2 linked regions of the Oryctolagus cuniculus genome follow. The protein of the gene in region 1 purifies or fractionates together with the protein of each later gene. This does not show direct contact. Links are inferred from orthologs where the notes say so. Each region holds a gene or a part of one and is shown on either strand. Other genes may lie near its edges.

The links. The genes of interacting proteins can lie anywhere in the genome.
Region 2: the proteins of MED13L (region 1) and CDK8 purify together in Homo sapiens (affinity purification with mass spectrometry; 6 studies listed by BioGRID and IntAct, counting the BioPlex papers as one, with this or other methods). This does not show direct contact. The link is inferred for Oryctolagus cuniculus from reciprocal best matches to the Homo sapiens genes MED13L and CDK8.

What each region holds. Positions count from the first base shown.
Region 1 is NC_091452.1:12,460,431-12,466,642, reverse strand, and holds part of MED13L (mediator of RNA polymerase II transcription subunit 13-like), read left to right. Parts: coding exon 1-121; intron 122-2,482; coding exon 2,483-2,595; intron 2,596-3,610; coding exon 3,611-3,743; 3' UTR 3,744-6,212. UniProt on the Homo sapiens protein: Component of the Mediator complex, a coactivator involved in the regulated transcription of nearly all RNA polymerase II-dependent genes.
Region 2 is NC_091440.1:96,553,745-96,561,651, forward strand, and holds the start of CDK8 (cyclin-dependent kinase 8), read left to right. Parts: upstream 1-3,143; coding exon 3,144-3,271; coding exon of another isoform or gene 3,272-3,485; intron 3,486-7,907. Other genes in the region: collagen alpha-1(I) chain-like, read right to left, coding at 1,959-2,206, 2,333-3,485.

The sequences.
Region 1 (6,212 bases):
GCTCAAGCAGCAGCCGCTGGCCCTGGGGTATTTCGTGTCAACTGCCAAAGCCGAGAATCTCCCCCAGTGGTTCTGGTCTTCATGTCCCCAGGCTCAGAACCAGTGCCCTCTCTTCCTAAAGGTCGGTCTGGCTTCATATTGGAATTTTGCGAGATGGAGTGGCTTATGCTTGGATTCAGCTTTGCTTAGAAATTTCTACCGTAGCTGTCATAGCCTTATTCTGTTCCCCGTTTCTCTCACAGGACTTACTCCCTGAGGGTATCTTATTTACTCTTGTGGGTGGAGAGAATTTAAGAGCAGGACCTAAAATCATGGCACAAAGAAATGAATTGCATCCACCCAAGTAGATGTTGTGGGCTCGGAGGGCCCATCTAGAGGGAACATGCGGTTCAGTCCAGGGTCTTTCTCCAAGTCTGCGTCACAGTGCTGTCTGGGAGTGAAAGTCCGGCTGGAGGATGGTCAGGACTCCCTGTCTCCTCCTGCCCTCTTTGTGTGTGAGGGGCAAGATTCTGCTGCAGTATCGCACTTTACACTTGCTCTTTCCTGTGATCTCTTTTAACCAAGATTTTAAGAGTTAGAAGTAAAAGGTCCTGGCTGGTGCCGTGGTTCACTTGGCTAATCCTCCACCTGTGGCACCAGCACCCTGGGTTTTAGTCCCGGTTGCTCCTCTTCCAGTCCAGCTCTCTGCTGTGGCCTGGGAAGGCAGCGGAGGATGGCCCAAGTGCTTGGGCCCTGCACCCGCATGGGAGACCAGGAGGAAGTACTTGGCTCCTGGCTTTGAATTGGCGCAGTGCTGGCCAAAGTGGCCATTAGGGGAGTGAACCAATGGAAGGAAGACCTTTCTCTCTGTCTCTCTCTCACTGTCTATAACTCTCTCTCTGCCTGTCAAAAAAAAAAAAAAAAAAAAAAAAAAGTAGTAAAAGGTCCCTTACTTGCAGTTTGTGTGGAAAATCTTAGCATGAAAGTCACTTCTTGGGGCCAGCATTGTGGCGCAGCAGGTTAAGCCACCGGCATCCCATATTGGAGCCCCAGTTCACGTCTCAGCTGTTCTGCTTCTGATCCAACTCCCTGCTAATGCCCTCAGAAGATAGAAGAGGATGGCCCATGCTCCCTGCCACCCACATGGGAAATCTGGATAGAGTTCCTGGCTGGTAGCTTCAGCTCCACTTGTTGTATATATTTGGAAGGTGAACCAGCAATAGGAAAGAGCTTGCTCGCTCGCTCGCTCTGCCTCACCCTCTCTCTCTCTGCCTCGCCCTCTCTGTCGCTACACCTTTCAAATAAATACATCTTCAACCTGGGGCCATTGCTGTGGCGTAGTAGGCTAAGCCTCTGCCTGCAGCACTGGCATCCCATATGGGTACCAGTTCATGTCCCGGCTGCTCGTCTTCTAATCCAGCTCTCTGCTTATGGCCTGGGAAAGCAGTGGAAGATGGCCCAAGTGCTCAGGCCTGTACACCCACATGGGAGACCTGGAGGAAACTCCTGACTTCAGATTGTCCCAGCTCCAGCCGTTGCAGCCACTTGGGGGGTGGATCAGCAGATGGAAGACCTTTCCCTCTGTCTCTGTCTCTGTCTCTCTCTCTCTCTCTCTCTGTGTATGTAGCTCTTTCTTCTCAAATAAATAAATAAAAATCTTAAAAAAAAAAAAAAAGGAAAGATCTGTTTCTTGCCAATAGATTCAGAAAAAACAAGGTTTGGAGAACATGCTGTGCCTGGGAAGAAGACCTCGTGTTGGGGGCAATCGTGAATGAGGTGGCCTACGCTTTATCTCATGGGACAGCAGTTCCCTGCGGGGAGTCTGTCCCAGAAATCACTGGACAAGAACAAAACATGAGATGTATAAAAGACTAGGAAACACTTAAATGCTCCTGGCTCTTGGCTTCAGCCTGTCCTAGCCCTGGCCATCGCAGCCTTTTGGGGAGTGAACCAGCAGAAGGAAGGTAGATCGTCTCTCTCTCTCTCTTTCTCTCTCTCTCTCTCTCTCTCTCTCTCTCTTTCTTTCTTTCTCTCTCTTTCCTTCTCTTTCCTTCTCTCTCTCTCTAACTCTGCCTTTCAAATAAACAAAATAAATCTTAAAAAGTCCTTACTTGTTAATGGTACCTACTGAATTATTTATAGACCAAATGACACTGTATTTGGGTTTTGTTTTTAAACAGTTCATGAGGGGAACAAACTCAAACGAAACAAAAAGTCGCATATCTTGGTAATGTGTGTGCAGCTTGGTGATGGGGGTATGTGATGCCTCATTATATATTATACTGTTGTTTATATTTGACTGTTTCCAATAAACGAAATATAGTGGGCCAAAAAAAGAAAAATAGGCTGAAAAAAGCTCATGGGACCTGTTGGGGGTTACTGAGCCGCCTAGGCCGCGTGGACTCCCGGACACTCTGTGGAGAACATGTGCTCCTGGCCCTGGGCCTCCTTTGGCTGCGCTGAGGTTGTCGGCCCGAGGTAATGCTCTTGCTTCTTTCCCCAGGCTTCCCTGCATCACCACATTTCTGTAGCACAGACGGACGAACTTCTCCCTGCCAGGAATTCTCAGCGGGTTCCACACCCTCTGGACTCCAAAACCACATCTGACGTTTTAAGGTAGATCCTGACCTAGGCAATAGAGGGGCAGTTTAAGTTACCTTCCTTCACTCCGGGGTTTGCGTCTAAGTGTGGTGTTCATGGAAGAGGTGCTGCCGCTGGCGCATGCTGCAGTGTCTGATCGGCCAGCGAGGGCCGCCGCCTGCGGGGGCCTGGCACAGGCAGTGTGTGTGCGGCTGCAGCTGCCTGTGCTTCCTGTTCGGGGAGGCATTCCATGGTGACGACTGGTCACCTTCAGTGGGCGAGTAGGTAGAAGGCAGTGCCTGCAGCTGCAAGTACTTTGCATTGAAAACACTTTCCACCCTCGCTGCCACAGATTCTGTAAGTAACATTGGCTGAACAGAAATTCCAGAGTCGGAAGTGCATTCTAGAATATGTAGTCAGTCTCTTACACTTTACCAGTCCATGGACAGTCTTCATGTGCCTTGAGAAAAGACACAAGCTTTCTTTAGTGTATGCCAGCTCTTAATTGACTTACAGAACTTAGAGTTACACAAGAACCTGGTCGACCTGAATTGGACTCCCAGGCCCCTGAAGGAACTCTGTTCGGTACAAGTGCGGCAGGAGCCACATATCTAATGGAAATTCTTCCAGTGGCCACATTAAAAAAGTAAAAAGAAATCAGTTAAATTGATTCAACAGCGCATTGTATTGGCTCAGTACATGTGAAATAGTACCATCGCAACATGTCATCAGTGTACACATGTCCCTGAACTGGCTTCTTCAAGTACGGAGTCCCTGCACTCTGCTGCAGGTTGTATCTGTACAGCGCATCTCTCCTCGATCTTGCCTCTGCTCCGGTGTTCAGTGGCCACGTGTGGCTGGTGCCAGCCACGTGGGCGCTTCAGGTCGATTAGGAAGAGGGGCCTGAGACAGGACTATGCAGAAGAGCCCAGGGCCAGGTAAAGAATGATGCGAGGCCTTCTCCCGCCAAGGTCCGGAAGGTGTGGCGAGGCGGAGAAGCAGCCTCGCGTGTGCCGCGGGCCCTGCCCTGATCTCTGTGTTCTCTTCGCAGGTTCGTTCTGGAGCAGTACAACGCCCTCTCCTGGCTCACGTGCAATCCGGCCACCCAAGACCGCACTTCCTGCCTTCCCGTCCACTTTGTGGTGCTCACTCAGTTGTACAATGCCATCATGAACATACTCTGATTGGAAAAGCACTTGTTCTCTCTGGCCCAGTTCCTCCTCCTGCTCCGCTCTGCAGACCTCCCACGTCCTTGAGCCCGCGCAGTCCTGCACTGTGATCCCTGCGCCGCAGGCACGCTCAGTCCCTGCAGTGTTCAGTTCAGAGGACTCCCTGACGCTTCTCTCGCGGACCTGGAACTCCATAGCAGTGACTTCCAGCCAGGGCTGTGGCGTGCGCAGCCCCTGCCACTGGCCTGCAGGAAACGGTGGTGGCTGGCGGCTTCTCAGAGGAACCAGAAGAGACAGTGTCCTTTTGCACAAGAGGCTGTGGTCGGCCTCTGTTAAGGATGCAGGCCGTCTGGTCCTTAGTGACTGGCGTGTGGCCTGTGGGTTACCTGAAGCCCAGAACTGGGACTCTGGAACTAAGAACCAGCTCAAGTACCTGATTCATACTGGGGCTTCTGCCCTCAGAGCTCCCTCCAGATTGGCACGCGTGCTCTGGTTGACTTCATGCCTGTGTGTAGATGCAAAAGGTCTGGAGACAGCTTCATTTTATTTATTTTGAGTTCTTTTGTAATACAGTTTCTGTGACTTGACTTTTTCTAATTCACGAGGACCAGGTACAGTAGCTGAAACCCAACTCAGCCCCACCATAGGATTCTTTGACTGCACCCCTCTGTCCCAGAGGCGGAAAGGGGTGAAGACAGACTGGGGAGGTGATGCCTAAGAAATAACATTCAGAACCACCCAGCAGTGGGTTTTGTTCAGAACAAACTGGGTCTACAGGTTCTGTCACGTCCAGTGACATGTGCTCCACTCCTGAGGGATGACGTTTTCATCCTGGAGGAGTTGGGCCCAGTCCAGGGCCACGGAGGCAGGTCCCTCACTTAGTTTTATACAGTCACAATGGAAATCTATTTTCTAGTGAATTCTTATCGAAAGCCAGGTCTCTCCTCCCATTAGATCAAAAGGGACTCATCCATGTACATATCACAGTTGACAGTGTTTGCTCATAAGCCAGTTCTGAATATGGTGAGTTTTTTCTGGACCATAGGAATATTATTTCAAAGAAATATTACAACTTAACCATTAAATTAGTACTTGAAGTTGAGCCTTCGTGGTGGAACTTTTTTAAAAATGCCTTTTTAAAGCATTAATGGCTAATTGAAGTATTTTATGACTCCTCATTCCAGGCCCAGAGGTTGTCTTGAGAGCCCTGTCTCTAACCCTGTGCTGCTGGGTGTTTCTGTCTGGGGGCAGTGGATGTGGACCGGCCTCCAGGAGCCGCGCATACCAGGCCGTGGGGCTCTTGTCATCTGTGTGTGCAGAGAATCATGCAAATTTTACAAGTTCTTCCAAGAGACTTCCGTGTCCTGGTTATTAACAAAAAAAGGAGAAATGTAATAATTGATATGATTTTGTAAAAGTATTTTTCTTGAAATAATCTAACGTTTAAAACATTATATTAAAAAAAAAAAGTTGTGTGGTGGGCACGGGAGAGCAGAGACGTGACGTGTAAATGAGTGGCGGTGCTCTCCGTGCCACCGTGGCGGGGGAGGGTCGCCTGTCGCAATGTATAGGCTAAGAATCTGATATAGCAACCGTTTGTATCTACTGTGTACAGTGTAAAGTTGACTTTAAAAATATTGCAGTGCTATTTTTTCTTAATCAGAAAGGAGAATTCTCAAGGCCTTTTGAAGAGCATAAGATGATGGAGATTGTAAACTTGTATAGAACTGTCTTGCTGAGAAGACACAGTGTAAAGTAGATATTTGTAATCTTTTACCACTTTGGGGTTGCTTTTTTTCCCAGAATTCATCAGAACTTTGAATTTTTTTTTAATGGGCTGTTTTTAATGCAGGGGCTTTTCTTCCCTAGAAACCCAGTTCTAAGCAGAAAAAGAAAAAAAAAAAAAACAAAAAACAAAACAAAAAAACCCTACAAAAATTAAAAAAAAAAGGCAGCAAAGGGTAGTTTTCATCTGGTGTCTTTTATTTAAGTTTTTTAAGTTAAGAAAAGCTGGTGACATATTTATACGTTTTTGTGCAAAAATAAATGAATGGCAATAGATTTTAAAAAATCTTATTATGTACTTCTGTGTGAAAAAGTCTGTATAATATTTCCCTTAAATATGCATTATTTTACTTGTGAGTTTTTTACTGAATTAATCTGAAATGTACAAGCCCTGGATTTGCTACAGAGTGAGAAGTTATTTTATTTTTTTTTATTTTTAATTTTGGAAATCCTGCAAAGATCAGAACTCTTACCATGGTTTGAACTCAACAGGGGCAGTGGGGGGAGAAGGGTGGGACTGTCCAGCATGCTTGTATGTATATTTCAGAACCTTTTTTAAATGTAAAAGCTGTACATTTCTGGGAAGTTCTGAATTTCTTTTGTTTCCTTTTTTCCTTCAAGCATTTTGCAGTGAGCTTCTTTTATATATAGCAAACAATTTGAAAGAATACAAAAATATGTGAAGTTCATTTAAAAAAA
Region 2 (7,907 bases), on another chromosome or scaffold:
GTGGAGGATGGCCCAAGTGCTTGGGCCCCTGCACCCATGTGGGAGACCCAGAAGAAGCTCCTGGCTCCTGGTTTCAGATTGGTGTAGCTCCGGCCGTGGCGGCCATTTGGGGAGTGAGCCAACGGAAGGAAGACCTTTCTCTCTCTCTCTCTCTCTCTCTCACTGTCTGTAAATCTATCTCTCAAATAAATAAATAAAATCTTTTTAAAAAAAATTTAAAAATCTTTAAAAGAGAGAGAGAGAGAAAGAGGTCTTCCATCTGCTGGTTCACTCCCCAATTGGCCACAACAGCTGGAGCTGTGCCGATCTGAAGCCAGGAGCCAGGAGCTTCTTCTGGGTCTCCCACATGGGTGTAGGGGCCTAAGGACCTGGGCCATCTTTTACTGCTTTCCCAGGCCACAGCAGAGAGCTGGATTGGAAGTGGAGCAGCCGGGACTCAAACCAGTGCCCTTATGGGATGCTGGCACTATAGGTGGTGGCTTTACCCACTATGCCACAGCACCGGTTCCTCTAGAAAGTTCTTAAGCAAACAGGATGTTGGTGGCCAAAACAGATGAAGCAAATGCTGGGAAGGTTGTAATGCCCATAGTACTCAGCCAATGAGGGGGAGGGACCTGCTTACTAAACAGCCCGCTGTAGACCACCTGGGTGTGCGGGCTCACCAGGTACTGGATCTTGCAAGCTCATTAATAAATTTTGCTTTAACTGCACTTCTGAGTCTGAGTCTGTTCTTTGGGGTGGACTGGTGAGGCTATTTCTCACGATGCAGAGCAAGCCAAAACAGTAGTCAAAGTATATTTCTAAGTCTGAGACCTTCTGGAACGTCCTGCTCAGGTGGTACAGGAGGTGGTGGAAGTGGGGCTACCCTCAGCGCAGTGTAGTGGTTGGATTTCTTAAGATCTATGAGTAAATATGTGGATAGAGAGACACGTTGCTCAAAAACAAAACAAAACAAAACAAAACAAAACACTAAATACACTTTTCCAGGAAGAGTCTATTAAAGTCCATATTTATTAATGTCATTCGTTAATGAAGCAAAGGGACAGTCCTGCTGGAGAAACACCCATTTCACTGCATTGAATAGAAATAAAAATCTCCATATCCCTTTAATAAAGGCTCTCATTTTTTGCATACTTGCTCTTTGCTAGGGACTTTTATAGCTTCATTTTGCAAAGCAAAAATCCAGGGTTCCATTTAATCTGATCCAGTATACTTAAATGCTAAATATTTAATATACTAGATAAAAACAACTTAATCTAAACCAGCAGTGAAGTCCCTAATTTTCTCCATGGAAACTTATGCAAGAGAAAGTCTTTTTGTGGGTTTTTCACAAAATGGTTTCGTCATCAGCATCATCGTCATCATCAGCTGTACATGGTTATTTCTGACATAAACATGTCCATTCATTCATTGATTCACTAACAAATATTTGCTGTATAGCAACATCAAGGCATCGTACTAGGAGTTTGTGGAAGATGCAAACATGACTCCCAATAGGAATTCATAAACTAGCAAGGGAGAGAAAATAAAAAACAGAATTTGATTAGTATCACAGGAATTGGGGGGGGGGGATATTTTAAAAATGGGAAAGATCTTCTTCCCTCTGGGGAGTGGGAAATTTTAGTGGAAATGACAAAAACTGAACGCCAAAAATTAAAAACAGAGGCGCAAAGACGAGGGACAAGAGAAAAGGAGGGATTATTACCAAGGTGTCAGGACTCCTCCAGCAGACAACTTGCCTACCTTAAAATGATCAGCAAACGAACGTCTGTGGATTTAGACCTAGTAATTATACCCCCAAACTGGTGCTTTAAGGGCAGCAGTACAAAAGGCCATACTCAAAATAGCGTCGCCTCTGAATGGACGGGAAGGACCGTGAGAGCCGTCCGGGACTAGGGCAACAGCGTCCAGGAGCAGTGTGGACGCTCGTTATTGGTTCGCTTTCCCATCAGCGCATTCTAGGTTTCCAGTGAATGCCGGTACGTTGATACCACTGCGCGGCCCCTTATCGGACTGGTACCGCCACGAGTGTCTCCAGTGGCTGCCAGGGCGCTGTTTACAAATAGCATTCGTCCGATAAAGATGATGTTCTTTAATCTCCGGAGTTCAGAAGAGACACAGAATATAAGTGTAATATTCTTTAGCTTCCCTCGTACGTGAGCCTCTTGAGTCCAGTTTTGGTTCAACTCGGACTCCAGTAATACCACTGTAAGAAAAAGAAAAAGAAAAAGAAAAAGAAGAAAACATTTTTTTTTTTTTTATCCCTTTAAGTGAATGAAACTAATCTCGTCTCGGACTACTAATCCCATCACGCAACACTCCATATTCCCACCGTGCGGGGTGGAGCCGTAAAGGGGCGGCACAGCGGCGGCCCAAGCATTCTGGGCGTTGTAGTCTGGGGCCGGGCCACCGCGGGCGCCCATCCACGTGGTACGTTTGGCGGCAGCTTTGGGCAGTGGCTCCCCGGCTCCCTTCCTCAGTGCCCTCGGGGTGCGGGCGCCAGCAGGTACTGCCAGCCGCCGCGGGAGCCGGCTGGAGTCGGGGCCCGAGGCTGCCCCAGGCTTCGCGACGCTTTTGCGACAGCCGCGGCCGTGTTCCGCGGGTGCCCTCCCTCCTCCTCTCTCTGAGGAGGTACCGGCTGTTGTGCGGCGCTGCCTTTCTGTTGGAGTGTATGGGAGAGTGAGTGAGTGAGTGAGTGTGAGCGTGTGTGTGTGAGAGAGAGAGGGTGAGGCGTGAGTGCGCGTGTGAGAGAAGCAGAGCCCACCGCGGCCGCCCCGCCGCTCCCACCGCAGCGGGAGCAGGACACGCGCGGCCGGAGAGAGCAGCGGAGCCGGCGCCCGCGGAGCCCGCGGGGACAAGGGCAGAGACACCCGCTCCCCACCCCCCGCCGTCGTCCCTCGGCTCTCCTTCGCCCGGGGGGAACCTCCCCACCCCGGCCGGCCTCTGCCCCGCTGCCCTCCTGGATGTCCCCGGCGCTCTCGCGCGGCCTCCTCCTGCTGCTGCCGCATCCGTCGCGCTGGTGCTGCGGCCGGCGGGCGTAGAGCGGGCGGGTTCCCGGGGGCTTGCGGCTGCCCGTGCTTCCCCGGTCCCCACCCCGGCCCCCGGCCCCCCGACCCAGCTCTCCGGCCTCGGAGGCTGTGACAATGGACTATGACTTTAAAGTGAAGCTGAGCAGCGAGCGGGAGCGGGTCGAGGACCTGTTTGAATACGAGGGCTGCAAAGTTGGCCGAGGCACTTATGGTCACGTCTACAAAGCCAAGAGGAAAGATGGGTGAGTGTGAGTGTGTGCGTGTGTGTGTGTGCGCGCGCGCGCGCGTGCCGGGCGGCGCTCCCGCAGGCCGAGGCAGGTAGCCCCGAGGGAGAGTCGGCCGCCGGGGTGCGGGGCGCTGACTCCCTCGACGCCCGCAGGTGTCCCCGCCAGCCGGTGTTGGGGAGGCAGTGGTGGACGAGGGCTGCGAGCCCACCGGAAAGCCTGCGTGCTGCATCTGCGTTGTGCTGGGGTGCTCGGTGGGGACAGGAGCCTCTGCCCAGTGGACTGGATACTTTCCGAGGGTTTCGGTCCTGGATTTTTTCCTCCCTCTTGTAAATGCGCTTGTAAAGCGCACTTGCAGTGCTTTCTTTTCCTCCGGTCGGTCGGTTGATGATGGTACTGTTCTGGGGCTTGGCTCAGCCGACTCTGGAATGACATCCGTGAGTCTGCAAGGGAAGCTGCGAGCCTTTCCCCCACCAGTTTGTGACCAATTTATGATCAAATTGGGGTTTTATTTGTGGGGAAGAAGGCAGCAAGTCAGTATGGTTCTGGAGCGTTCCTCGTGACCATCGGCCACACAGATGTAGCAGTTGCTATTTGGGTATCATTAGCTGTGAGTTTTTACCTAGAACAATGGGGGTTTGGTGCAGGGTGGGTAGTGGGGAAAAAGACAAGTGACAAATAGGGGCTGCCTTGTGCCGGCTGTTTCCCCAACATTTAGCACCTGACTGTGTGCTTTAAATAATCTCTGCTTTAAATATTCTTCCCTAGAAATAACTCAATTAAATCTCTGACTGGTAATGCTCCCAGTTTAGTTTCCTAATAGGCTAGTGAAGTGTTCCTTTTTCCTTTGTCAGTAGGTGAATGTGTTGTAATATTGACAAAAGAGAAGGCAGTTCTTAGTTGGGGAGGAAATATATTTTATTCACTACTTGTTTTCCTCTTGTGAAAATGGATGTTGTCTCTGTAGGAGATATTGGGAAACATTGTTGGGAAGGTAATGTCATAGCTTATTATATAATCTTTGGGTTTTATTGGAAACAAAATAGCTTTACTTGCATGGCTGCTGTTGGATGTTGAAAGTAATTTTATTTTTTCAAATTAGGTAGGAGGGGATGTTCAGATGTTCAGAAATACATTAGCACTAAAAAACGTGAAACCATTCATAAAGCTGAAGCAAGTTCTCTGGGAGAGTAGGGGGAGGCCGTATTTAGAAATACTTTAATATTCTGGATGTTGGAAAAGGAAATGTATATGTACTCATTCTATTTCTTCGGTTTATTGAATGAAGTGTCTTTTGAAAAAATATTAAAATGGAGCCCAGGAGAAAGATAGTAGTTCTAATTAAGTTGGAGCATGTATTTCAGTGCTTTGATGCAGTAGTAAAGTAGTACAGATGTCCACAAAAGGTAAGGATTTGAAAACTTGCTGCTCTGGGTCTACGTGCATTTAAAGGTACTTTTTAGCGTAATGGATAGTCTGGTGACATTTGAGAAATCAGTGTCTGGAGATACTGCTGACTCTGGTGTTGTCTAATTAGATTTCTCATTGAAGTTTTACTCTGTTATGACATATATTTTAGAAATTATCCTTATTAATTTACCATACATTTTTGAAAGGCCATCAACCATCTCCCCACCCCCCAATATTATGTAACTTTGGGCATATTCATACAATCTCCAATCCCAGAAGATTAGACATGGTAGTACATTTGGCCAATTTGTTGTCTGTTTTATAAAATTCTAGTGACTTTAAATTAGTTTTAATACCTTTGAGAAGCCAGCTCTATTTTCATAAATTCCCACTTTAAGCTAATAAAATATGCAAATTTGTTGTAATTCAGATTTTATTTAAAAACTAATATTGTGTGTTGGTAGGAAGTACTGTTATTTTGTTATTTTATATCTTAATGGTCATTTTATTTTAGCCTGTTAAGAATAATTTGAAAAGAATTTAAAAATAGTAAATTATTTTTTAAAAAGCTGGTGTATTGTGTAGAAACATTTATTAGTTATTTGTGATGGTTGAACCAGTAACATTGCATTTGGGAAAAGTTTTTATTTGTAATCCTTTGGGTTTGTTTTTCAGCATCCTTTAATGATTCTGTTTATATGATGAACTTTTTTTTAATGGATCAAATGTCAAGAGAGTTTTAAAATTGCTTAAAACAGGGGCCGGCGCCATGGCTGACTTGGTTAATCCTCTGCCTGCAGCGCCGGCATCCCATATGGGTGCTGGGTTCTAGTCCCGGTTGCTCCTCTTCCAGTCCAGCTCTCTGCTGTGGCCCGGGAAGACAGTGGAGGATGGCCCATGTGCTTGGGCCCTGCACCTGCATGGGAGACCAGGAGGAAGCACCTGCCTCCTGGCTTCAGATCGGCCTAGCTCCGGCCGTGGCAGCCATTTGGAGGGTGAACCAACAGAAGGAAGACCTTTCTCTGTCTCTCTCTTTCTCACTGTCTAACTCTGCCTGTCAAATAAAAAAAAATATATATAAAAAAATTGCTTAAAGCAGTTTGTTTTCCAGAGGGAATAGTTCTTGGTTTGGCTTCTTTTTATAACCTGACTCTGGTAAAATACCAGATTGTAGTTATGAGGTTCTTTTGATCTTATGTCAGTAAAATGTAATTTAATACATTTTAGTCCTGGTAAAATAAAGTTTCTGGCAGTTTAATCTTTTATAATAAGTTGATCAAATAATTTGTTTCTAGTATTGATTTACTTTCAAATTAAATTATGTATTCTCCAACCGAAATTTCAGAGACCTCCAGGAAATCAAATGGTAGCTCATTCAAGGAGAATCCTGAGATTATCATAAAATAAAATAATGTAAATAAACTTTTATTTAGACTTATTTGCCTATTAAAATGAGTGTATGTAAATGTTACTTTTTTTCAGTTGTCCAGTGGGCATAGAACATGAATGAGTGGTAAAAGAATTTAGACCGCCGATGCCACAACTCAATAGGCTAATCCTCTGCCTGCGGTGCCGGCACCCCGGGTTCTAGTCCCGGTCGGGGCATCGGATTCTGTCCCTGTTGCCCCTCTTCCAGTCCAGCTCTCTGCTGTGGCCTGGGAAGGCAGTGGAGGATGGCCACTGCACCCACATGGGAGACCAGGAGAAGCACCTGGCTCCTGGTTTTGTATCAGCGCAGTGCGCCGGTCACAGCGGCCATTGAGGGGTGAACCAATGGTAAAGGAAGACCAAGACCTTTCTCTCTCTCTCTCTCACTGTCCACTCTGCCTGTCAAAAAAAAAAAAAAAAAAAAAAAAAAAAAAAAATTTAGACCACAGGAGTTAGCTTCTACAATTATTAAATTTTAGGAAATAAAATTGCTTGAATCTTCATTTCTTTGATTTAATGAATGAATTTTTTACAACTCTATGCTAGTATACACTTATGATAAAGTCAATCTTTTAAGGAATGTAGGGAAGGGGGAATATTTTATTTGAATCATGATTACAGTACAAGAGGAAAATGGGCCTTTCATAATTGTGTTAATTTCAGATTATAATAGTTAAAATATATAAAGATAGTAGAATTAAAATTCACTTGTTCTCAGTATCATAAATGAGAGTGTGTCCTTTGTGTCTGATCACTAGAAGGATACTCAGTGGGAGGCAGGGGGTTCATTCTTCTGAGTCCATTTTATCTCTTCTTTGCAGACTTCAGGCAACCAAACTCATTTTCTTTGAAAGAATGGAAAAGTATAAGAAGACAGAAAACAATTTGTCTTTTAAAATTCTAGACTCTCAATTTAGTCACTGAACATATGTAGAGTTAAAAACTCAAGTTGGGGGCCAGCATTGTCGCACAGGGGGTGAAGCTGCCACTTGTGGCAGCATCCTACACCAGAGTACCAGTTTGGGTTCTGACTGCTCTGCTTCTGACTCAGCTCCCTGCTGCTGTACCTGGGAAGGTCGTGGAGGATGACCCACGTTCTTTGGCCACTGGCATTCATGGGGGAGACCCAACTGGAATCCTGGCTCCTGGGTTTGGTCTGACTCAGCAGCTCTTGCAGTCATTTTGGAAATGAACCAGGAGATGATGGAAGATCTTTCTGTATGTATTCCACCCCCCACCCCCGCCATGTCATTCTGCCCTTCAAATAAACCAATAAATCTTTAAAACAGTCAATTTGGAGTAAGAGTTTTATCCCCAGAAAAGAAAGAAAAAAAGAATTTCTTAAATAGTGTTCTCAATCTGTCTTCAAAAGAATGGGTAGTATATAATTAGGATTGTTGTGTGTTTTAGGTACACAGAAAACGTTCTTTGAGGCATATTTGTAGAAAACTAAGACATTAGTGCACAGTGATAATGATAAGAATAGCTAAATTATTGAGTAATTAATTACTAAGTCCTGAGTGTTAATCATCTGTTTAATCCTTGTAACTATGTCCAGTTGTTATTTTTCCCTATTACAGGTGAAGAAACTGAGACTTAGAAAATGGGTACGTGGCTAATTAAGTGTTAGCAAGGAATAGATACAGACCTCTTACTCCAGAGTCCATGCTCTTAACAATTATGCTTCATTATAAATAATATACATTATAAGTATAAATATTGGTTTCTAGTAAGTGTAAATATTGGTTTCCAGTAAGTTGCTTAGAAAACATGAATGCTTTATCATAGAGCTGTTCTTTTCAATAAACTGTATTTT